Drosophila melanogaster: one gene and its partners. The protein of the gene in region 2 interacts with the protein of the main gene of each other region in a pairwise test. Each region holds a gene or a part of one and is shown on either strand. Other genes may lie near its edges.

Region 1 (8,445 bases), on a different chromosome or scaffold from region 2:
CACGCGGTCCATCCCCGAATCCCATGAAGACACCCCGTTCCCTAAATGTTTTTGCAGCATCTGGCTCCAGGAATCGCTCGGGCTGGAAGGACTGGGGATTGGGAAAGAATTCCTCATCCAGCATGAAGCAGTAGTGAGGTACAACCACAGTGGTGCCCTTCTCCACGACGAAGTTGGGACCTTCCTTGTTGGGAATCTCGATGGATTCGGTGCACAGTTTATTCGACATAAATCCGGGCGGGAAGAGTCGGATGGTTTCTATAAAATAAATGGGTAAATACGGTTAAAAACAATAATTGCAGCTTGAAAAATTATTTAATTTACCCTGCACACAAGCGTCCAGGTAGGGCAAATCGCTAAGCTTTTCAAAGGCAATGGTGCCATCCTGCAGATGGGAACGAATCTCCTCTCGCAGAAGATTCTGTGCCTCCTTATTACGACCCAGATTGAGCAGTATGTGAGCCAAGACTGTGGCCGTCGTTTCGAATCCGTCGAGCAGGAAGGTCATGGAATAGGCCAGCAATTGACGATTGTCCAGGTTGCGCTTCTCACCCAGTTGCAAGATGTAGTCCAGGAAGTCGGACCGCTCGAACTGCTTTCCCGCCGCCAACTGGGCACGACGTGTCTCTACCGCACTGCCCATCAGGTCGACAAAGAAGCGTTCCACATCCACTGGCACGAAGCGTAGCTTAATCAAATGACTTAGCGATGGGAAGGAACTAGTCAGTATAAAGAACAGCACAAAGGTCCAGGGCTGGTTGAAGAGATCATTGATTTTCGACATTATGGGTGTGGGCTTATCCGAAAAGCTTTCAGCGCCCAGACCCAAAACACAATCGGTGACCATCTCTGTTGTGAAGCAGAGACTCATCTGTGGACGATAAAGTAGCAAAAAAAAAAAAAAAACAGGTTTGGTTTCATAGAATACGTACAACAGATAGTATAGATGGAATCTTACGTGCTTGGCATCGATGCCGTCTTTAGAACCCAGACGCAATTGCTTCTCCACCCACTCGGTCAACTTTTGGCACACCTTGTTTGTCACCGGATAGACTGTCTTTATCTGTAATTATGTATATTGGTTGGATCAGTACTTTTCGGGCTTGCCACTGGATGAACTGCCTCACCCGTCCCATCGTAAGACCAGGCGTTACGTCCGCCCTTCGAGTTTTCCACTTTTCGCCAGTTAACGAGAACGGATTGTTGGCGAAAATGAAATCGGTTTTCTCGTCAATATTCTTGGCGATCTCATTGTCGTGGAAGTTCTTAAAGTTGGACACAAAGACTCGACGCGCCAACGCGGGATTGATCACCAGCAGCTGTGGAGAGCGGCTGCCAAAAATGCCCACAGCATCGTACTTGTTCTTATACTGCCTGAATAAAATGATCGCATTAAATTCAAGTAAAGCGTAATTTTTTAAATGCGTTTTAAGAATGGTTCTTGGTTTCTTTGTGAAACAGTTGATGATCCATTGAATTTTGGTAGTTAATATAACCTTTCTAGCTGGGATAACTCACCTGTATATATCGTCTAGATCGTAGATTGCATGCCGCTTCATAGTAAACATGTTTGGATAGTTTCCGCACAATAGCTTTGGCTTGGGACCAGGAACGCCCCGTTTCCTCCAATAGTCATAGTTCCATACCAGCACGGCATACAGCAGGCCCACCACCAACGAAACCAGGGTCAAAGTAATCAGAACCATTTTCGATCGCTCTAAAATCTACGTCCACGCGCGACGAGTTCTAAACGGCGTCTGTTGTGGAATCAGATACTCTGCTCTATTTGTAGCTGCTCATTGAATTTGGGAGAGGTATTCAACAGTGTGGAATCACCGAGATACCTGAGTGAGTGCTCTGGGAGAGTAAACTACTCACACTTTCACCATAAACAGTTCTAACATATAAATGATAAGAGCTAATCATTATTGCAGGCGGTCGTCAATCGTCATATCAAGCAATTATTATTTATTTACGGTCTTGTTCTTTGTAGAAAAAAGCAATAACATTTGATGTTGCAACTCGACTAGCCGCAATGAAATTAACCATTTAGAATAAATTTAAGTATCTTTAGTAACCTAGGGCATATTTGAATGGCTGATGAAATATATACAGTAGTTGAAGGAAACATTATAGCGTTTGCTTCTGTCTTACATATTTTGCTTGCAATATTGGGATAAACAAATGCTCAGATAATCCCAAGCGGTTTATATGTATAGGTCTAGATTGTCGAGTCCTCAACGGATGTAGCTGATTTTGGAGCAACATGAAATATATAAATTTACATTTGCAGCTCAGTTGAATTTGAAACGTTGCGCCGAACTCATTTACATAGAGATCAAAGCTGAATTTTACAAGATTTCTGCTCTTTCCATAATGTCACACATCCAATGCCTTTGGGTGTGTCTGGGTTTTTTTATGCTACTCGTCGACTTCATTCAACCCATCGGCTTGAATGTTTGTAACCGATCGCAGGTGGTTACTTACAAGAGATATGTCGAAAGGAGTAGAGTGATACCATACCAGCATAGATCTTTCTGGAGTGGTTGGCAGACAAAATACCGCACCGAGTATTATACAGACGAAGAGGTAAATACAAAACTTTGAGTAAAATATAAATGGGGAACGGAACTAGTCTCCCTAAAGCTAATAATACAAATAATTATAAAATACTAAAAGATTCCTATGTACAAAGCAAACGAAGATATAGTGTGCTCGTTATCTGGAATTCATTAAAAATCCAAGAGAAAAGAACATTACATTAATTGAGGGTCCAGTTCTGTTTAATTCATCGGACAGACTGGTTGCTTTAAGATAGTGAATATATATATGGTATATACTTCAGGAAACGAATTGACTCGCATTACTCATGGATTTTACTGCATTTTCACTGCATTTTGTGTGTCTGTCATTGTCCTTTGGCACAAGTTTCGCCATTTTACGGCATGGCCTAAATGATTGCAGTCACCCGGAAAGCGTTCCGTATAACCGTAAGGTTCTTAAAAGTAAATTGGTTCCGTTTCAACAGTATTCATACTTTCATGGTTGGGTTACTAAGTACAGGCATCAATATGTCTATGAAGATGAGGTAATTCGAATTTGTACATAATTTATATTATTATTTATAGCTTTGGTAAGTGTGTAGTTAAAGTTTCCTTTAAAGAGGCTTTTTCTCCTGTTCTCTAGACTGCCTACAGGACCGTAATGAGACCCAGTTGCTGTGAGGGCTACGAAGGATCCGTTGAGAACTGCAAACCTGTCTGCAGACAACAGTGTCCTCAACATGGATTCTGCTCGTCCCCCAATACTTGCAGTTGCAATGCGGGCTACGGCGGTATCGACTGCCATCCCGTTTGCCCAACGGTATGTGGAAAAAACGAGTTTTGCGATCGCCCCGGAGTCTGTAGCTGCCAAAATGGCTACAAACGAACTTCTCCCAGCGACAATTGCCTTCCAGTTTGCGAAAAGGAATGTGGACACCATAGCTTTTGCTCGGAGCCCGGGAAATGCGAATGTGAACCTGGGTACGAGAAAGTGGGAAACGGCACCGTCTTTCCAGATGGATACAAGAACAATTCAAATGGCAATTGCTCGCCCATTTGCCCAAAGGATTGTGGCCAAAACAGCCGATGTGTGAGGCCAGGTGTGTGCGAGTGTGAAAATGGATATGCCGGTGACGACGGAGGCACCAATTGCCGACCCGTGTGCTCCACTTGCCCGGAGAACGGATTATGCTTGAGTCCCGGCGTTTGTGTCTGCAAGCCGGGCTACGTAATGAGAAATGATCTCTGCCAGCCGCATTGCGAAAAGTGCTCGGATAACGCACACTGCGTGGCGCCCAACCAATGCGAGTGCTTTCCGGGCTATGAGTCGTCGGGGGCGGACAAGAAGTGCGTACCCAAGTGCAGCAAGGGATGTACCAACGGCTTTTGCTTTGCACCGGAGACTTGTGTTTGCAGTATTGGCTATCAAATGGGTCCCAATCAAGTCTGTGAGCCAAAATGCAGCCTAAACTGTGTTCATGGCAAGTGCACCAGTCCAGAAACCTGTACCTGCGATCCGGGTTATCGCTTCAAGGACAACTCCCATCACGAATGCGATCCTATTTGCGACAGTGGCTGCAGCAACGGACACTGTGTGGCACCCAATTTTTGTATATGCCACGATGGCTATCAGCTCAATAGCACAAATCCTGTCACTTCTATGTGTCAGCCGATCTGCAAAGGCTGCCAATTCGGAGACTGTGTGGCACCGAATGTGTGCGAGTGCAACGTGGGCTATGAGAATATTAACGGACTATGCGAGTTACAAACCACGACGGACTCCTATGAATACAGCACCACAACTGTGGAGTTGCAATCATCAACTGTAGACCCTCAACTGCAGACATCAACCAGCGAGGTTCCGCACTCAAATTGCACTGCCGGTTGCATGTGCTGGATTGAATACGATGGGATGGGTACTTTCAATACAGCCAAGTGTGCCAAGATCTGTGTTGATCCCCAGGACAAGCCGTGCCTCAATTTGGACAATTGCCAATGCGATTTATCGAGTGGTCAACTGGTGTGCCAAGAGGATAGTGACATGGATTACAGCGGGGAGAATTCGCGATACGTTTGTCATATTTTGCCAGAGCAGGGGGCAAGATCAGAGGCTGAGGTACGGATTCCTGACCGAACTGGATCGTCTAACAAGTGGATGATTATCGTAGGCTCCTGCGCTGGAATGATCATTGGTGTGGCCGCCACAATCATTGGCATAAAGTACTATCGACGTTCTACCTCTAGGCGAAATTTTGAAGCCGAAGAAGCCATTGTTGAATGTGATTTTGAATAGTTTGAATCCACACAAAATCACTTATCCTTTCAAAATCGCTTGTAAAATTGTTAAATTACTTGAATTAAAAAATGTAATAACATGAAATAAATTTATAATAATAATTATAATAATTATTTGTTGGTAATGTCCTCAAGCTTAAAAGAATAACTGGACCATTTAGGTACGGAATGCAGGACTCACTATAAATGTAAGCAAATGTCAATTGTGCTTACTTAAAGTTGACTATCTAGGTTTCATCAAAAGAGGGTACTTTACAAGTACGAGATATATATTACGTCTAACTGTAATAGTTAAGAAGATTTATACGAATACTTTACGAGTACTGGAAAAGAAAACGCTGATACCAACCAGTCGTATCAGCGTTTCCTTTTTCAGTACTTGTCATATATGTATCTATTCCCATACAGAGTTTCTGTGTGGTTAATCAATCCAATAGATAAAACGCACGCTTTAATAAATCGTGATATCAAACATATATTTTGGCCAAACACTTCCTCCACACGGAGGAGCTTTCAATAGCTGTTGTAAAGGCAGAGTTTTTGTAATGCTCTAAAACTGTATAACTTTTCATAATAACAATACAATGCAAAAAAACCGGAAACTTGCAGTTTTATAAACTGATCAAATCCGTGAAGTATTGGTATGACAACCCCTTTGTTTTTCAATACCTTTCGTTTTGTGTTTGGAGTTTTAAGTTTGGACAACCACAGCAATTTTTTGTTTATTTACATTAAAATAGTTTGTTCATCACTATATAAGGGAAATTATTTCTTTTTAAAAAATTATTTTTGTATTAACCATTATCATTAGTTACAGGAAACGTTTGGAATGACACACAAAAGTGATTGAGTCATATTTACTACTAAATCATTGGAGGCCTGTTAAGCATACATACATACATATATAATATGTAATATTTAAAATATGTAAAATGTTCGCGGACTAATAAAACGACTGAGATCAACTGATTTGTAATCCTCATATTTTTTAGAATGAGAAAAAAGTTGTAAGTCAACCAAAACATACCACTCAATAAATTCATAAAATGAACTCGACGAGCTTAACGTTTAAAAGTGTATTTAAATCCTTTACTCACCTTTCTTTTTTTATAAAAAAGTAAGAAATAATTGTACAATTACTTCTTACTTTTATAAAGCCAATTAAATTAAAAATAAATACACTGGTTACATATTTTCCTCCTTATTGGATATACCCGAAAAGCTTTCATATAAAGGGTACTAATCTCGCTCCGCAGAAGGCAAGCGAAATTTTAAAGTTTAGTTCATTTTTTGGCACTCGGCGGAGCAGTTCACACTAAGTTTACATAAGTCACTAATATGCATAATTTTCAACTGACCGTCGTTTTCCTGGCACTGTTCACTTTTACCAGTTCCTTTGGATACCGTTCTGAACATCCGCACAGAAAACCAATACATGTACGTACTTTTTCTGTCTTTTAAAATCAATAACATTAAATACCCATGACAAAGGGTCAAATTGCATATGCAAATGACATACAAATATGTTAGTCTAAATATTACATATTTATAGGTATTTAATTAAAAAAATTTAATTTTAAAAACCAAGAATTATCATAATTTTTTGTTTTTGTCAGAGCAACCGTCCATCTCCAACTACTACAATGACAACAGATTCAACTTCAACTAGCTTTATGACAACAGATTCAACCCCAAGTGAAACGGAATCCACTTCGGATACATCTACTGAAGAAAGTACACAGATTTCTGACTTCACCGAAAGTTCAACCGAAAGTTCGACGACAGCAAAGATATTTTTAAAGGACAATGAGATTTCAAAACCAGAAAACAGCAACACTTTACTTATCAGTGTGTATGGCATTGTAATTACCTTGGCTATTTTAGTTGCTCTAATATACTGCATTCGACGCCATTATGGTTCATATTCTGTGAAAGAGCAATGCAAGCCCATTGAAAGTACCGCATATTTTAATAATATTAAATATTAAAATCATATTTAAATAATATTATCTAAAAACAAGGATTTAAATAATAACTTTCTTAAAAACAAATTTGCATCCACTAAGTATTAAAATAATTTTTGGCACGAATCTTAAAATATTTGAAATAAACATGACTCATTTATTTCCGACAAGCGCTTCAAATATTTTATTTCTACTTGTGCCGGATAAGAAGAATTTCAAAACAAAAACATTTGTTATATTTAAGCGATACGGAAGTAAGTAATCTCAGCTATTCGACATGTTTTGAATGCGATATTATCTAGCCATTTAAATTTATTTTTTAAGATAATGACTGCAGCTTTTGGATAAACACAATCTCTGTTTTGGTTTTATACCGATCAAGCCCAAGGGATTTCGAAATAAAAATCAATTCTTTAGTAATAATGTCTATACTGGAACGCACATGGTTGATTGCTCATGGTAGGTATATCCCGGATCGCATAGACATCGGTTTCGGCTGACACACACGCCATTGTTGCACTTCCTGCACCGAATAAAGATTGCCATTAGTCTGGTATTCCCAGCATGAAGTTTTCAGCTTACTGATAGCAATCGGCCTGGCAGACACCATCCCTCAGATTGTAACCAGGAGCGCAGTCGCACTGGTTGTTGTCCTTGCAGAGTCCGCCGATTCCACAGTCCGGTTCGCAGACGGGCTGGCATCCGTCGTCGGTCAGCTGATAGCCCTTGGAGCAGCCACAGATCTCCGGTTCGGTGCAGTTGTGCCGCGGACTGCTGCCACAGCCACTGCTGCAGATCGGGCGGCAGAAGCGTCGCGTCTCGTCCAGCTTGTAGCCCGGATCACACTGACAGCTGCCGTCCAGATAGCACTGACCATTTTGGCAGCCCAGCGGGCAGGCAAACACACAGTCACCGTTGTCGTTACGCACAAAGCCATCATAGCACTCGCACTCACCAGGAATCTTACAGCTTCCGTTCTGGCAGCCACATTGCGCCCGGCACACGGTTACGCCCATCAGACGACTGGCCGAGTATCCGGTGCAGCAGACCTCGATCAGGGACAGCCGGTTGGCCTGGTCCGTCTGGATGACACTGGGGTACGAGTACTTTTCCACCGTATCGGGGCTGCTCGAATGTTGGAAAACAAAAAATATTATAACTAAGTTCACCACATTGCTTCCAATTCTCAGTCTATGCTTATGAATTTTGGCAACTAAAAGTTTTACAAATTCTGGGAGTACAGATAAGGCTTGCGATATTATGTTCACAGTAGAAAGTTTATATATATATTTCTGATTATCAAAACATACATATATATATATACATTGTTAAAATAAAAAAATTTTGTTAATGTATATATACTTCAACGTTGTTTTCTGTGTATCTGACATACTTACGGCACCCAAATGCGGCATTTGTGTTGCCCCCTATCGGATTGCGTTTCATGTGATCGAATGAGATACTCTCGTCGTTTCGGCTGCAACTCCACATTTCTGGGATCTTGGAAGTTGGCTGGTCCAGGTCGATTATAGGACAACTGCCGGTTTTCCATGTACCCGCGGCCATAGGTTCCCATTCCTGGATCCTGGGACACAGGCCTTCTGTTGTACCGATCCGAATAGCTTGGCACATTTGTGTAAATA
Region 2 (6,689 bases):
CGGCTTATCCGGCTGGCCGGCAATCGATTCGGCGCTGAGAAAGCTGGTGAAACTTTCGTTTTGCAGGTCTTGGCTGGCATTGGTCGCGACAATGGGCTTGGTGGGCGAGGACAGTCCCAAGAGGTCGCTTTCGCCGGCACTGCTAACGCCGCTGCTGTTCAGCTGGACGCGTTGCGTCGTCTTTGGGCTGCAGCCGCCGACCTGGTTGGGTTTCGGCTTTGGAAGCGGCGCGGGCAGGGGGGTGTTCTTGAGCGCCGACGCAGATGACCCGGACAGGCGCTTGTCGCCGCTGCCACCGGCCACTCCAGCCAGGCCCAAAGTGGCCTGGGCCTGCGTGCTCTTCTTCTTGCGCTTCTGGCGCTCAAGCTCCTCGTCGATCTCCTTGGCCCAGTCCACTTTCGGCGGCGAGGGAGGCACCCACTCGCGGGCCAGGTACTTCTTGTGCTCGTACTTGGCCCGGATGAAATTCTCCAGCGCTGTGTCCGTCTGCGGGCGACGGAAGCCGTCCGGCAGCTGCGCCTCGTAGACGGCGCGAGCCCGCGAGTTTCCCATCTGCTGCAGCGAGATCACCTGCTCTGGCGTCCAAGTGTCCAGGTTGACGGACTTGACGCGCGATATGTGCACGCCCAGATTGCGATGGATGCCGGCGCAGCGGATGCAGAGAAACATGCCCAGGTTCCAGGAGGCCCAGCGCGGACCTAAGGATAAAAGGTAGCATTCAGTGACAGCACATAGGCTCATATCGCAGTGCAGCTGCATGTGTGGTGTGTATATCCACGCACGCACGCACACAGATGTGCGTCACCAAGAGGCGTATCTCTTGGCGGAGAAGTGGACCCCATTAACATACCCTTGGCATCGCAGTCCACGCAGTACTTGTTGTCCTCGTCGCGGAGCATCTGCGTCAGGAGGGTCTGGCACTTCTCCTGAATTAGCTTCGTGCGCTGTCCCGCATTCGAGGAGCTCATTTTGGGGTATGCTTGCGGTCTGTGAGGCCTGGTTTCGATATTTGTGGCGGGGCGCAACTGTGCGACGTGGCGTGGGCGACGGGTAGAGTTGGCGGAGCTTATCTCTGCTTCACATGGATATACAACTACCAGCGAATTGAATTGACAATTTTCTACAAGTTTTTGCTACCGAAAAAGTGATGCGTCCAGTGGGACCGTGTGGCGGTGAAGGCAGCTAGCCTCCCTGGTTGTCACTAACGCCAAGCCGTGCCATCTTGCCATTCACAGGGAACCGAAGCCACTTTTTAAAAAAGTTGTTTACTTTTACTTCTGCCCACAGAACATTTGAACTCACATTTGCCGGCAAAAATGGAAATTTTGCGAACGAAACTAGAGGCCTGCCTGCTGATACTGAACAGGAACAATGCAGCAGCTGCAAACTGGCTGAATGTAAGTGGGGGAAACGGACCACTAGCCCCAGGACATCAATCACTTGTTGCTTTGAATTTCAGGACCTGTGCGCCGTGCTATTGGAATTCGCTACTTTGGCCCACAGCTCCTTCTGCTCCCAGGGGCAGTCGGAGTGCTCGGAGCTGGTGTGCCTCTGCCTCAGCCAGATTATGATCTGCATTCGCCAAGTGGAGAACACCATGAAACTAGAATGCGGCACCACAGTCTCGGTGAGTAATTTGGATCTCATCCATGCATTGCACAATGATGTCTAATCCTCTGAAAGCAGGTAAGTCATCAGTACTTCCTGGACCGCATTCGCTGGTGCCTGAAGCGCCTCATGCATCTTTACAGCGAAGAATCGAGTTCCGAAGCAGTAGCTCCGGAGCGCTCGTTCCTTAAGCTGGTGGATGGCGCATTGGATTGTTTGGCGCAGTTCACCTCGCACAGTGAGGAAAACACCGATACCTCCAACTGTCCAAAGACTCCCAAGGAAGTCCTTCCACTCAGCCAGAAGTTGCGCGCCAACATTGATTTGATCTTGGGTCAATCTCTGGGATTCGCCAATGTGGCTTTGTCTCAGGACAAGAGGGCTCTCAGTGCCTTGTGCCAAAAGGTGGGTGTACATCTTCTGCAGTATCCCCTTATTTATTCCCCTCATTTGTGCTCTAGGTCATCCGGGAGTGCAATGCCTTTCAGGAGGAGTGCAAGGAGTCATTCAGTGCCAACTACCTGTCCACCCTTAAGCTGCGGGCCATGACCATGGAACAGGCAATTTACCAATTGGAGGACTTTATCAACGATGCGCTTTTGCGCTTGGTATTCACATGCTTCCTGGACTTCGAGAAGTTTTCGGTAGACAAAATTAGAGCGCTGTTAAGGAACAGCCCAGATAATGATGATCTGGCCGATGAGTTCATAGCGGACTTTGATGTGAACATAGATCGCGCCACCCAGATAGGCATTTTTGCCATTTCCTTTGCGCCCAACTTGAAAAGTATAATAATTATATATAATTATAAAAAAAAACGCAATTAACTCCAGTACCAATTCCTTTTCAGTGAAAACCATAATGCGCAGCTGTCTGGCCTCCTTTGAATCACTGGACACCACTCTGATACCTTCACTGCAGGCCCATGGTTCCGATTTGCACTCGGACATCCTAGAGCAGCACTTTAACGAGGAGGTGGCCAAGTTCAAGGCAGCGCTTCAGGAGATCATCGACAGCCGCGCCCTCGTTGGTTGTTGCCTGGAGATACTGACCTCAGGGATAAGTGCAACGGAAAAGCTTTTCGATAAGCAGCGATTGGAGGACTTGGTTCAAATCTCTTTGCTGCTAGTCGAGCACTTTCAGCTGGAAGTCAACCGAAAGGGTCTAAGCGAAACGCAGGACCGATTGGGGGAAGAGTACTACCAGCAGTTCATCCGGGTACTGCGCGAGTGCAAGGCTATTTTGATGTGCGCATCCCAGGTGGAGCCGCAGAGAATCCTCAAGCGCTTCAAGATCTTGCGCACGATCTTGCGCAAATTGCACGGCTCCCTGGGAGCTGGTAAACAAGAGGAGGAACTTCCTATTCCCCTGGCTCCCCTTTTAGCTGATGATACCAAGGGGGTAAATGAAGACGAAACCCATTTCACTGGCTATAAAACAGCCCGAAGCGGCAGTATCCTCTACGACACAGAGCGTAGGAATAGAGTAACTAGACGAACGGACAACAAGCTACCCACAAATACCTTGGACATTAAATCGGATAAGGCAAAACCCCATGGAAATGTTCTGAGAAGTAAGTCGGCTGATGTTTAGATAAATTTGGTAAGGTTACCAATGTTTTGAATGCTATTTTCAGGAGAAAGTTTACGGACTGTCATGTTCAAGCGGCAGAATATAGCTGAAAGCAGAAAGCTATACACCTCCATGAGTAATCAGTCTACGGATCTACAAATCACAGGTACCTAAAATGATTACATTTCCTATTTTATAAGTTTTTCCATTAAATTTCGTATATTTTTAGATATACTCGACCAACTCACTGGAATGTCCAATGGATACTTTGAATGCTGAAGCATTTCAACCATTTGTACATAACTTTTTATTTAGTTTAGTGTTTAAGTTCATACCATTTAAGAGATTTTGCAATTCAAACTTAACGTACGTCGCCACCTGAATGTCATAGGTCAGGTCAGGCATACACACAAACATGTATGTTCCTCGGGTGGCGAAGAGTATCGCATCGGAAACAGTTTAGACTGTTGTAAAAGTAGAGCAATAGGTTCCAATAAATATATAGACACATAGCACACTTGTCAGCGCATCTCCCTCGGTCGATTGACCTTTCAATTGCACTGGACACCCTCGTTCAACCCAACATGTGAAGCTGTGTGGGCAATCCCTATCGATTTTCCACCACGAGCGGCAGCCAGGACTCGCAGTCAACAGATACACACGGTAATTGCTTGGTAAACAGTAAGCACTCGGCTATGAAATCTCTGGCCGGCGATAAATTTGCTCTGTCCGAAGAGATTGGGCCACCGCCTTGTTCTCCCAAACACCGAAAAGCAAGTGCCGTGAGTAGGGACACGGATACAAATAACCATCATGTGGTGCCGCTGGGGATCCTCGTGGTGCTCTGCACTGTGTATCTCATGGTAGCCGGGATGCAGCGCAACTACAGGCACTATTTTAAGCCGGGCGTGGCTGCCTTCGACCTGCACCATGCCCAGCCGGAAGCCATGGCCGACGCCGAATTGGATGTCGCCGCTCCAGATGCATCGTGCCAGAGGTTGGACGTTTTCGGAAAGGAATCCAATCGGAATCAGGCAGTTTCAAGAAGATCCCAAGGCAGGCCCACGAAGAGAACCAAAAACGGCACTGGAAATGGGGTCAGCAAGCAACCTCGTCGTTTGATAAAGTCCCCGGAGGGGCACAAGAAGAAGGAAGTTGGCAAGAAGAGTAACACAGCGGAGCCCATTATTTACCTGTTCGCCCTTGTGTTTGTCTATCTGCTTCTGAAGGCCGCCTCGGACATCAACCAGCACTACAAGTCGGTAAGGATAACCCGCATTCCATTCCCTATTGCCACGTGAATAATCCTTCTTCGGCAGCAGAACAAAGGGGACAAGCGACTGCGCCGGTGCTCGCTGCAATCTTATGCCCAGATCCACAAGCAGGATCGCCGGTCATCAAAAGGTATTTCACCAAAATCTTTGCCAAAGTTTTAGCTCGCTGGGGGCCAGGTGCCTAGCCTATTACACCGTGTTAACGAGGGATCAAGTGAATTGTTATCCTATAAATCTAAATGTATCTACCACTATGTACTGAACTAGCCAATCTTCTCTACTCTAAAGCACCAGTTTTCTGACTTTTTCGGAAAATGTATTGTTGTGTATTGTGTATCTCTCGTCTGTCCTCAATCTCTATACATCTATACATCTGTACATCGCACTTTTCGGGCTCGATTATGCGTTTGATATCTGTGTTTTTGAACGACCTCCACTGTTTACCTCCTCTTCACCTATCTGTGAAACTGTACTGAATCCGAATATAAGGTTGTACATACTCGAATGTATATTACTGTCCTAAGTGTACGTAATCCTAAAATAAATCAATTACTATGTGCTTTCCTGTGATCAATTTACATACGTAGCCGTGTTAGCTTGCGTTTCATTTCCTCCGTTCGATTGGGCTTTTACGCAATCCTCTGCGATCCTCTCTCACCCCGAATCCCAAACTGACCGCTCTACATTTCCCCAATGCATGCCAAAAGTGGATGAGTCCCCCATCTTCCGGCGCAAGCATATAATCAGCGAGGAGCGTTCCGTATCTGTGGATCGCTTCAAGTACACGCTAAACGATGAGGGAGGCTTCACCAGGTCCGTTCCGCTGGTTCAGGAGTATCACTACAGGGTGGTATCTCCTTTGGCCAGCCGACCCAGTCAGCAGCATCCGCATAAGCCGGGATCCGGAGAAGCCCGTTTCGGTAAAGAGTCCCCACAACAAAGTGACACGTCCCATAAGACCAACTACTTTCTTCTCTAGAGCCTCGTCTTAACCGTCGCTCCTCGGTTCCGATCAGCATTAACTATCAAACGGTGCACGTATCGAGTCCACATCCTCCGGAAATGGCCAGGCGCGGCTCGGTGATAAGCCTCACTGGGCCACCACCAGAAGTCAGTGGTATGCCAAGTGGAGCCGCTGATCCAAAGCGGCGCGTCCGCATGATAAATCGCCATTGAAGTCCAGAAGTCCAGATGAGATCAGGACACAGCCCAACGAAATTGCAAAGAGACTACAGTATTTTAACACACCATTCGGAAACAGAAACCGCACACGTTGTAGTCCTTCTTAATGCGTTTCTTTTAATCAGTTAATTATGTTATATTATTCAAGTGTTTTAAAAAAACGTACAAAGAATATTCTTCTCGAAGACACCGAATTTACGCCCACTTCGGCGGGCAGCCGTTTGCCGCAGCATTTTGCCATCCTATTGTACATTATTCTACTTAGGGCAAGATTAAAAAAATCTTAGGCTAGCGTAGTGTTTAGTTTGGAATTCAGTACCTATGATATAACCATTATCTACGAACTAACTACGAACTTGTGATGCTCATTACAATTACAATGACAATTACATACAGCTGGGTATGTATCTGGGTTGAAAGACCTGCTGGGCGAAGCGGATGAAGAGGGTGCAAGATCTTAACTACGGTTGACGCGCTACTGGATCGGGGTGCGGAGTTATGGTCGGAGTGGTTGGTCCCTACGGCTAATACACGTATTCTACAAGGCCTCCATCTTCATCGAATTTTGCGCTAGTTTCTCCTATTCCATTAAATATTAAAATAAATTACGTATTTTAATTGCATGTGGTTGAAGTTCGTCCCTGCGCCGCATTCAGCTCAGCTCGTTGCCCTCGTACAGGCTCTCGCAGCTCTCGAGCAGGCGCAGCACGGGGGAAATGTCGTAGGGGTAGAGCTGGCGCGACACGAGGCGGGATATCTGCAGGCGCAGCCGGATAAGAACGCCCATCGCCTCGTCTAGCATGGCGCTGCCCATGCCGAAGGTGTGACAGCTGTGCACGAACATCGTCCAGTTCATGCGGATGTACTTGAGCAGGCGCAGCAGGTAGAGCAGGAAGCAGGTCTCGTTGCTCACCAGCAGGTCCAGCAGCAGGTCCGAGCTGTTCGATGTCATCTTGAGGAACTCCAGGAATGTGTACACCGGATTCAGCATGGCCACCAGCTCGGGGAAGGCGTTGTTGCGGAACGATATCCCAGACGTGACGTCCAGCGTGC
Region 3 (7,688 bases), 2.3 Mb from region 2:
TGAAATATTGTACAAACTGCTATGGCAAGCGCTGCAGCAAAATCTATATATACACATAGATATATATCTATATATTTGAATGTGTGTATGTGGTTAAACAACAAGAAAATGAAGTGATCTATTACATTATTGTAAAATATATCAAAAAACTGAGAAAAAAAAAAAACAAAACACAAACAAACATAAAATCTTATACAAAAAAATGACAAAAAATAAAGAAATCAATGTGAATATACAATGTTTTTTTTTATTGATTAATCACGTCAAAAGCGGGTTTGGAAGAATAGATATTCCTGAAAAACGAATACAAAACATTATTGTGGCAAATGATATATGTATATAAACTAGGAGCACAGTACCAGTAGAAAGGCTGATCCCAGTATCAAAGCCCGCTCCTTGGCGGTTAGCTTGGCGTCACTAAAGTATATATTTGTGGTGTACTGAGACTTGCTGGCGAGCCATTTGTGGTCTATGGAAGCCCTCATATTGCCTCCCGAATGGATCTGTAAGGGAACAAAAACACTATAATTGAATATTCTGTTCCGAATGTTAAAGCTACTACCAACCTTAAAATAACAATCTTTGGGCAAACTGAAGCAGCAGAATCCTAAACCGACAGGACCCTCTACACAGAATGTTAGTTGTCCTGTGCTTTCGTCTTCGATAAAGAACTCCGGCTGCATGAAGGTGGGCGACTGCACCACTTTACCCAGCAAATTACCAGGTGGTATCCAAATTTCTAGACTTTTTGCCTGGCAGCACATGGATCCCATCGCTAGTTTTTTGCGAAAAACCAGAGCTTCCTGGTGCGTTTTATCCAGCAGGTGCATCTGAAAGGGTCGACCAGCTCCCCAAAGTAGTCGATTTTTTTCTGTGGAACTCTCGTTGGCCGCGAAAATGGCATCACCCAGTGGAGATCGCACCACATATCGATTCTCCGAGGAGACGCCTGTTAGGGCTGCAAAGGGAAGACGAACTATTAGAAGCGATTTTAGCTAATTTTTGGGCTTGTACTTACCATCGTTAAGCTCAAAGGTCTGTTCAATATGTACGGACGGCAGATCTGCTAGGCAATCGTATCCGGAAAGTGGGATAAGCGTCCGGCTTCCCGTAACCGTGGCAATTGGCACTGGCAGCGGGATGCGTGGAGCCTCCGGCCTGGGTTGTGAGGTAATGCTGATATGGGAGTCATAAACTGAAGAAAAACAAACAAATCGTATATAGACCATTTTCCAATACGAGCAGAATCGTAAGGTTGTCCATATTGTTATCTTTGAACTAAGATTTTATAAACCTTTTCCATATCTTTAGGGTATTACAAACTTTTCCATAGATTGAATTTTGAAAGTTTTTAATATTTTAATTAAATTTAAATTTCATTTAAAGTTGTAGTTTTAAGATCATAATTTTACAGTGAATTTGAATTAAATAAAAATGGTTGTTGAACATTCTGCTAATAATAGCTCTGAGTAATAGCAATATTATTGAAAATATTTTGTGGTTATAACAAATCGTTTAGATTAAAACTTTAGTAGTTTTTCGATTTTTTCATAATCTTGTCACATAAATATTTTATTACTTTTCTTGGAATAGGAAAATGTTGGTATAGGATACAGCTAATATCATGGGTACGGTTTTACTATCGGATTGATCGCTGGGTTCGATCGTCCCAAACAAAGGCACTTGAGGAGTCGCAGACCATAACAAAACGCTGGCCGATAAGATATAGCCAACTTGTGGCCGCATTTTTGCGTCGAACTGTGTGACACACTCGCTCGCAACAATAATTAATCCGGTGCACTGCTTATCAGTTGGTAACAATTCGGTTACCCTTTTGCCAGGGTGATTCACTCGCTGTTTTTATTCGTTTTCTAAAGCCATATGCCCTAAATTACCTCTCGGTTCTGAGAGACTTGGCTGCTGGGCCACACGGATCTCACTGTCGTATTGCAAAGTGCGCACCGCGTTGTTTTGCAACATTTCGCCAGCACTTTTCAAACTTATTTGACGGCGGTCTAAATGAAATTGATAACGGTGGTCAGTGGGGCAGTAGCACAACGGAAGTTAAGTGCTTTGTGCCCCTCGCCTGGTCACACTTCCTGACTCAGATGATTTTAATACTCTATTACGAACGTTCTCATGTGAAATAGTAATAATAGCTTATTTATAGTGCTATTTTGTAAACTTTAATTCATGCGAATGTTGCAGGTTTTCAAAATATTCGTTTATGCTGCTCAAGCTGAATGTGGATAAATATATATTCAAATCCAGAGCTGCCACCTGATTCAAACTGTTTAGTAACGTATTTTCTGCACTTGCGATATATACTAAATTATCGCGGGATAAACGTGCTATCGCACTTGGGTCATACTAAGCCTTACGGTTTATTTTGCTAGCAGCAAAACAGAAATAAAACCTTTACTTAAATTTATTTATCAGAATTTGTCTCGTGTGAACTTGAAATTAAAGTCCGTCACCGTGTTCTCGGACCGAAGTTTGCTAAATGACGTGGAGACGAGCAGCAGGTGAGCGAGCGATGAAAATTGCAACAGTGCTGGCCATTTGGCCGACGATTTGTTGTTGTGGAATTTTTTGGCCAAAATTCGGGTTGTTTTCAAATCGGTTAGTCAAGGGGTTGGTAATCAAGGAACCAAAGTGCGCAGCCGCTGGAGCGGGAGCGGCGTAAACAAATGCCAGTGGGGTAGTGGTTCTCGGTGGGGGCTTAATCTCTGGAGCGCAAATAGCGACAGTGTTCTCTGGGCCATCGGTGGAACCAGCTAAGTCGGCGGAATCCACAAGAAATCGAGCGATAAGCGGCGGAGCGGGTCCAAGTGCAATAATCAATAAACGTGCTGTTCAAACATCGCTGCTAGGCGAAAGATAAAACCCAGTCGATTGTGAAATTCCTGCTATATAGAACGGATTGAAAGCAAAAATTTGCTCCCCATTTGCTTGCCTTTTGATGTAACTCCCACGAAGTGCTTTTGCTATTGCCAACTTGCAATTTGCCCCCTTGTACCTTTGGGGGGTGGTTTTCGCCCGGAAAAATCCATGAAAAGAACCGTCAAGTGCGCCACGCTGGTGAAAAACTGCTAGGAGTGTTAGTTTTCGTTTTGTGGCAAGAAGAGAACGCGGCATGTCTCTGGAGGATCCGTTTTTCGTGGTCAAGGAGTAGGTGTCCCCGATTTGGCAGATGGCCACATGCACTGCTGGTGGAAAGTGCTATCTTACTTATATCTCTGTTTTTTCTTTCATTTCCCTCCCCTTCCCCAACAGCGAGGTATTCAAAGCTCTGAACAAAACCCGCGGCCTCTATCTGCGTTGGCGGGAGCTGGGCGAGAACGGCGGAACGGAGGCTGAATGGACCACCACCGAGCTGCGTAACTCGCTACGGAGCATCGAGTGGGATCTCGAGGACCTCGAGGACACTATCAATATCCTTTTGCAAAGACCATTGAAAAATCAATTCGTTACCTGGTACTCATTTATCGAATTGCATTGTCTGTTTTATTTTCGCATAAAGAGGTTGAGATCCCATTTAAAATTGCTGAATATGCAATTTATTCGTGATTTAATTCGCTCGTTTATTAGTATTATACTAATAAACTGTACAGAACTTGTTTTTTTGGCACTATAATTGTAAAAAAAGAGTACTTGGTATCTTAAGGTCGGTAGAACCGACTTTCTAGCTCATCAGTCTCCTCGGTTTTCTCCTTAACCCATACCATTTTGACTCACACGCATCGTTGAGAAGAATCCAAGCAAGTTTCGGATCGACAACCGCGAACTCTCCAGCCGGCGCCACTTCATCGACAACACTCGCGATGAGGTCAAGCAGATGAAGGATAAGATGAGCCTGAACCGGAGCCGGGACAGAGACATCACCGCACACCAGCCGCTGCTCGACAACGATCGCCACAGCCCCAATCACAATCATTCCATTGCCATACCCAATTCGAATTCCAACTCCAACGAGTACCATCAGCATCCACACAACGATCGCACGTACCTCGTGGAGTGTCCCAACGGCAACTCGCTGATCAATAGCGGCAGTCAGGTGGCCAATACCATAGCTGGGACCATGTCGGCGGCAGCGGCAGCAGCATCCCGCCACAGCGGCACCAAGTACTCCAAGCTGGAGAACGCCCTGGACAGTCCCAGTCACTATGGGCAGACGCATCACGGCGGCATGGACAGTCCGAGTCATAGGTACGTGGGCGAAACAGTGTCCATACAGCAGCGTATGATCCAGGGACAGGATGAGCAGCTAGACATGATCAGCGATTCGATTGGTACCCTCAAGACGGTCTCGCGGCAAATTGGCGTTGAGCTCGATGAGCAGGCCGTCATGCTAGACGACTTTGGGAACGAGTTCGATACCACGGAGTCCAAGTTGGATACGACCATGAAGAAAGTTGCCAAAGTCTTGCACATGAATAATGGTGAGTGGTGCGGCACTTGTGGTATTCAAGGACTATTTTGATTGAAATATTAATGAAGAGTAAATGCTTCAGTGAACCACAATCAAAATTACCCATTGAATACTTTTGTGACTTCTGATTCCTAATTCTTAACTGTATCCATCTTCTTTCACAGATAAACGACAGTGGGCCGCCATTCTCATCCTATCCGGACTGTTATTGTTTGTGATAATTTTGTTTATTATTTTGTAATTGCTTTCGTTGTTCCCAAATCGTTTATATTTAGTGTAAATTAGATTTATTTATGACTTAGCTTGCTTTTGAATTCGGGCTCTTAATTACAATTCCATGTAAACTCCCTTGCTGTATATACACGGAAACATTTTAACCTGATTTATTACCAGCCGCCTCTCTCTATATATATATAATGTAATTCCAAAGCTACGGACAAATGATCATGTAAAGTCAATGTAGGCGGGTAATAAAAGATAACTAACTACTTACATATAAACCAAGTGCTCCAGAGTTCTGTCATTCCCAATTTGGCCAAAGGATACTGCAACTGTAAGCTGTATATACATCGAAGGATATATCTGCATATATATACATACAAACAAAATGGACCTACCAATATCAAACGAGTTATTTAACGAAGAGTCTTAGGAAATTTCACTAACCAAATCTAGCAAAAACTTGTATGCAATTGAGTAAATATATATACTTATAAATTAAATTCCTAATTTAAAGCCAAATGAGGTACTTCTTACGGGTCACCTAGAAATACTGTATGAGTGCACAGAGAGAAATTGTATACATATACAAAAATTTGTTCGCTATTTTGAAAGCCTAAATTAAACAAAAATTGGAAATACAAGCTTTCAAATTTTTTAATGTTTTTAAGGATAGTAGGATTAGTCAAGATGTTATCTTCTGATAGATCAATGATTTGGAAAATGGTATTTAATACCAAATTTTTCTCTGTGCACAAGGAGAGGGTATCAGGCCCCTTCTCATGTTCTCTCTGCGCCCCAAAACCACTCGACAGCCCACTCGATTTGCCCACTCACTCAGCTGTGTTGCATGCTTTTGCCCGGAGCTTTTTGGCGAGCTTACAGTCTGCGCACAGTGGCGCAACCAAAGGGGTATCTTCGAAAGGCTTGAAACATAACCCCTACGGGGAATCCGGACTACGCCACTGGGTCACAGCATAAGCACACGGGCAGAGCGGCACGTTTCCATGTGATGTTTTTCGGGTTTCGGCATTCAGTGTTGTTTGCCTTTTCCGCGGAGCTGGAGTTTTCCCAGCAGTTGGCATATAGTATATATATATATCTCCTGATATTCCGGTAGAAATGTTCAATTGTTGAATTACTTCGGCTAAGCGGCATTCAAAGTTATTTTGGTGAGTGACAGTGCGCAGTGAAGTGAACATACCCACCCATTATCACCCCCAAATATGCAGTAACCCAAAATTCGACTTCCTCTCGGATGTTTGTGGTTGGTTTTCCTATTGTGTGCAGTTTTTGTTGCCGCTGAAAACCTTGAGCATTTTGTTGGCCAAAAATATATAAAATCAATGTCAAACGGCGGAAGATGGGATACCGCTTCCATTTCTTTCCCCCCCCCCCCCCACTTACTGCTCTTCGTGGAAACACTCAGATTTCAGTTGACCGCCAGGTAAAACCAGCTGGTCCGGTTGGCTAGATACTCCTTCTGGGATTTTTCCTCCGCTTTCCCTTTGCTGCCGTGGCTATTAATAAATGCATGTGGCCAGAAGAAGCGAGTGAACATATTTCAGACTACATGTGTTCTTGGTGGCCGTGTGTTTTCCTTTGGACGCCAGTGTGTTGCTCGTGGTTTTCATTGCTGGGTGGGGGGAGCTTTTTCGAAACTCTTATCAAAAGTCGGATTCGCGGGCAGGGATTCGTTCGTTATCGAAACAGATGAGCGAACATGCCGTTACTTTTTAATCAAAAGACGTGTGTAGTTTATGTTGTACGGAAAGTGGACGGTAATAAAACTCAAGTGTCTGGAATTGCAATGCACCATTGCCATAAGCAAATTTCCAATGCACAGTAAGCAAAAATGGCAAAAAAAAACACAAAATTAATTCTGTTGGTGAAAATATCATGTTATATATCAGCAAATTACCCGCACAGACTGTTGTTTATGTATATTATACGATAAGTTTATTGCGAAATCAATTTACAATGCTATTTTTGAAAGTGAAAGGGAAATTGAAAAGCCATATCTGTGAAAGCAAAATGGGAATTTTGAAAAGCAAATTTCCTACAACCATAAGAATTTTTAAAAGGGCTTGTTTTATTCACTTTAACATTTGCAATGGATAGTAAAGCTAACGTATTCACGTTCTGAGATTTTAGGCATGACTGCGAATAAGTGATATTGTATTACAATTTACACAGTTTTAACGCCAAGCATTTGTAAGCTTACTGTTGCATAAAATTGAAAAAAAAATTTACAAATTTTTGAATAGCTTGCAATTTTGAAAAATGCATCCAAATATAATTTTCTAAATATTGTGTGATTAAAGGAAACCATAATGCTTACTGTTGCGTAAAATTAAAAACCAATTTTACAAATTTCTGAATAGATTGCTATTTCGAAAAATTCATCCAAATATAATTTTCTAAATATTGTGTGTTTAAAGGAAACCATAATTAAATAATGCTTACTGTTGCATAAAATTGAAAAACAATTTTACAAATTTTTAAATAGTTTGCAAGTTTGAAAAAATCATCCAAATATAATTTTCTAAATATTGTGGGTTGAAAAGGGAACCATACTTAATGTGCTTTTAAGTATACCAGATTTTTTTCAAGTGTACGCACAATTGCCCACAACCCACTTACTCACACTCTAGCACATTCGAACTTATGGTGTTTATTATTTAATTTGCTTTTCTCCTGTTGCTCTGCTACCCCTTTATTTCCAAACCAGATATTCAGTTACCCGGAATGAGTGGCGCACAGCGGAATCAGGATCGCAAGATCGTTGTCATCGGAGCAGGAGCCTCGGGTGTGGCCTGTGCCACCAAACTGCTGGAATTGGGCTTTCAGAATGTGCTCGTCGTGGAGGCGGAGGATCGTCTAGGTGGCCGCATACACACTATACCCTTTGCGGACAACGTCATTGATCTGGGTGCCCAATGGTGTCATGGGGAACGGGACAACATTGTGTACGAACTGACACGGAAACAGGATGAGGAGCTGCTGGAGTCGACGGGTCCGGTCTACGAAAACTATG

What was found.
Region 1: the proteins of CG8248 (region 2) and NimC1 interact in a two-hybrid assay, tested with the Drosophila melanogaster proteins (one large-scale study listed by BioGRID).
Region 3: the proteins of CG8248 (region 2) and Syx6 interact in a two-hybrid assay, tested with the Drosophila melanogaster proteins (one large-scale study listed by BioGRID).

Annotation. Positions count from the first base shown.
Region 1 is NT_033779.5:13,970,621-13,979,065, reverse strand, and holds NimC1 (nimrod C1), read left to right. Parts: upstream 1-2,811; 5' UTR 2,812-2,869; coding exon 2,870-3,088; intron 3,089-3,186; coding exon 3,187-4,836; 3' UTR 4,837-5,908; downstream 5,909-8,445. Other genes in the region: Cyp28a5 (cytochrome P450 28a5), read right to left, coding at 1-258, 325-871, 959-1,063, 1,128-1,374, 1,519-1,706; He (hemese), read left to right, coding at 6,177-6,275, 6,455-6,826; NimB5 (nimrod B5), read right to left, coding at 7,229-7,325, 7,385-7,927, 8,200-8,445.
Region 2 is NT_033778.4:8,917,277-8,923,965, reverse strand, and holds CG8248 (uncharacterized protein), read left to right. Parts: upstream 1-3,597; 5' UTR 3,598-3,875; coding exon 3,876-4,442; intron 4,443-4,499; coding exon 4,500-4,616; 3' UTR 4,617-5,026; downstream 5,027-6,689. Other genes in the region: CG8243 (uncharacterized protein), read right to left, coding at 1-698, 851-968; Spt (spitting image), read left to right, coding at 1,317-1,397, 1,460-1,627, 1,687-2,013, 2,070-2,394, 2,459-3,181, 3,245-3,346, 3,410-3,459; CG34219 (uncharacterized protein), read left to right, coding at 5,152-5,374, 5,434-5,630; lin (lines), read right to left, coding at 6,289-6,689.
Region 3 is NT_033778.4:11,217,188-11,224,875, forward strand, and holds Syx6 (syntaxin 6), read left to right. Parts: upstream 1-2,746; 5' UTR 2,747-3,136; coding exon of another isoform or gene 3,137-3,171; 5' UTR 3,172-3,193; coding exon 3,194-3,434; intron 3,435-3,740; coding exon 3,741-4,442; intron 4,443-4,596; coding exon 4,597-4,673; 3' UTR 4,674-5,151; downstream 5,152-7,688. Other genes in the region: CG9084 (uncharacterized protein), read right to left, coding at 264-293, 360-503, 567-976, 1,019-1,195, 1,896-1,980; CG7737 (uncharacterized protein), read left to right, coding at 6,412-6,496, 7,383-7,688.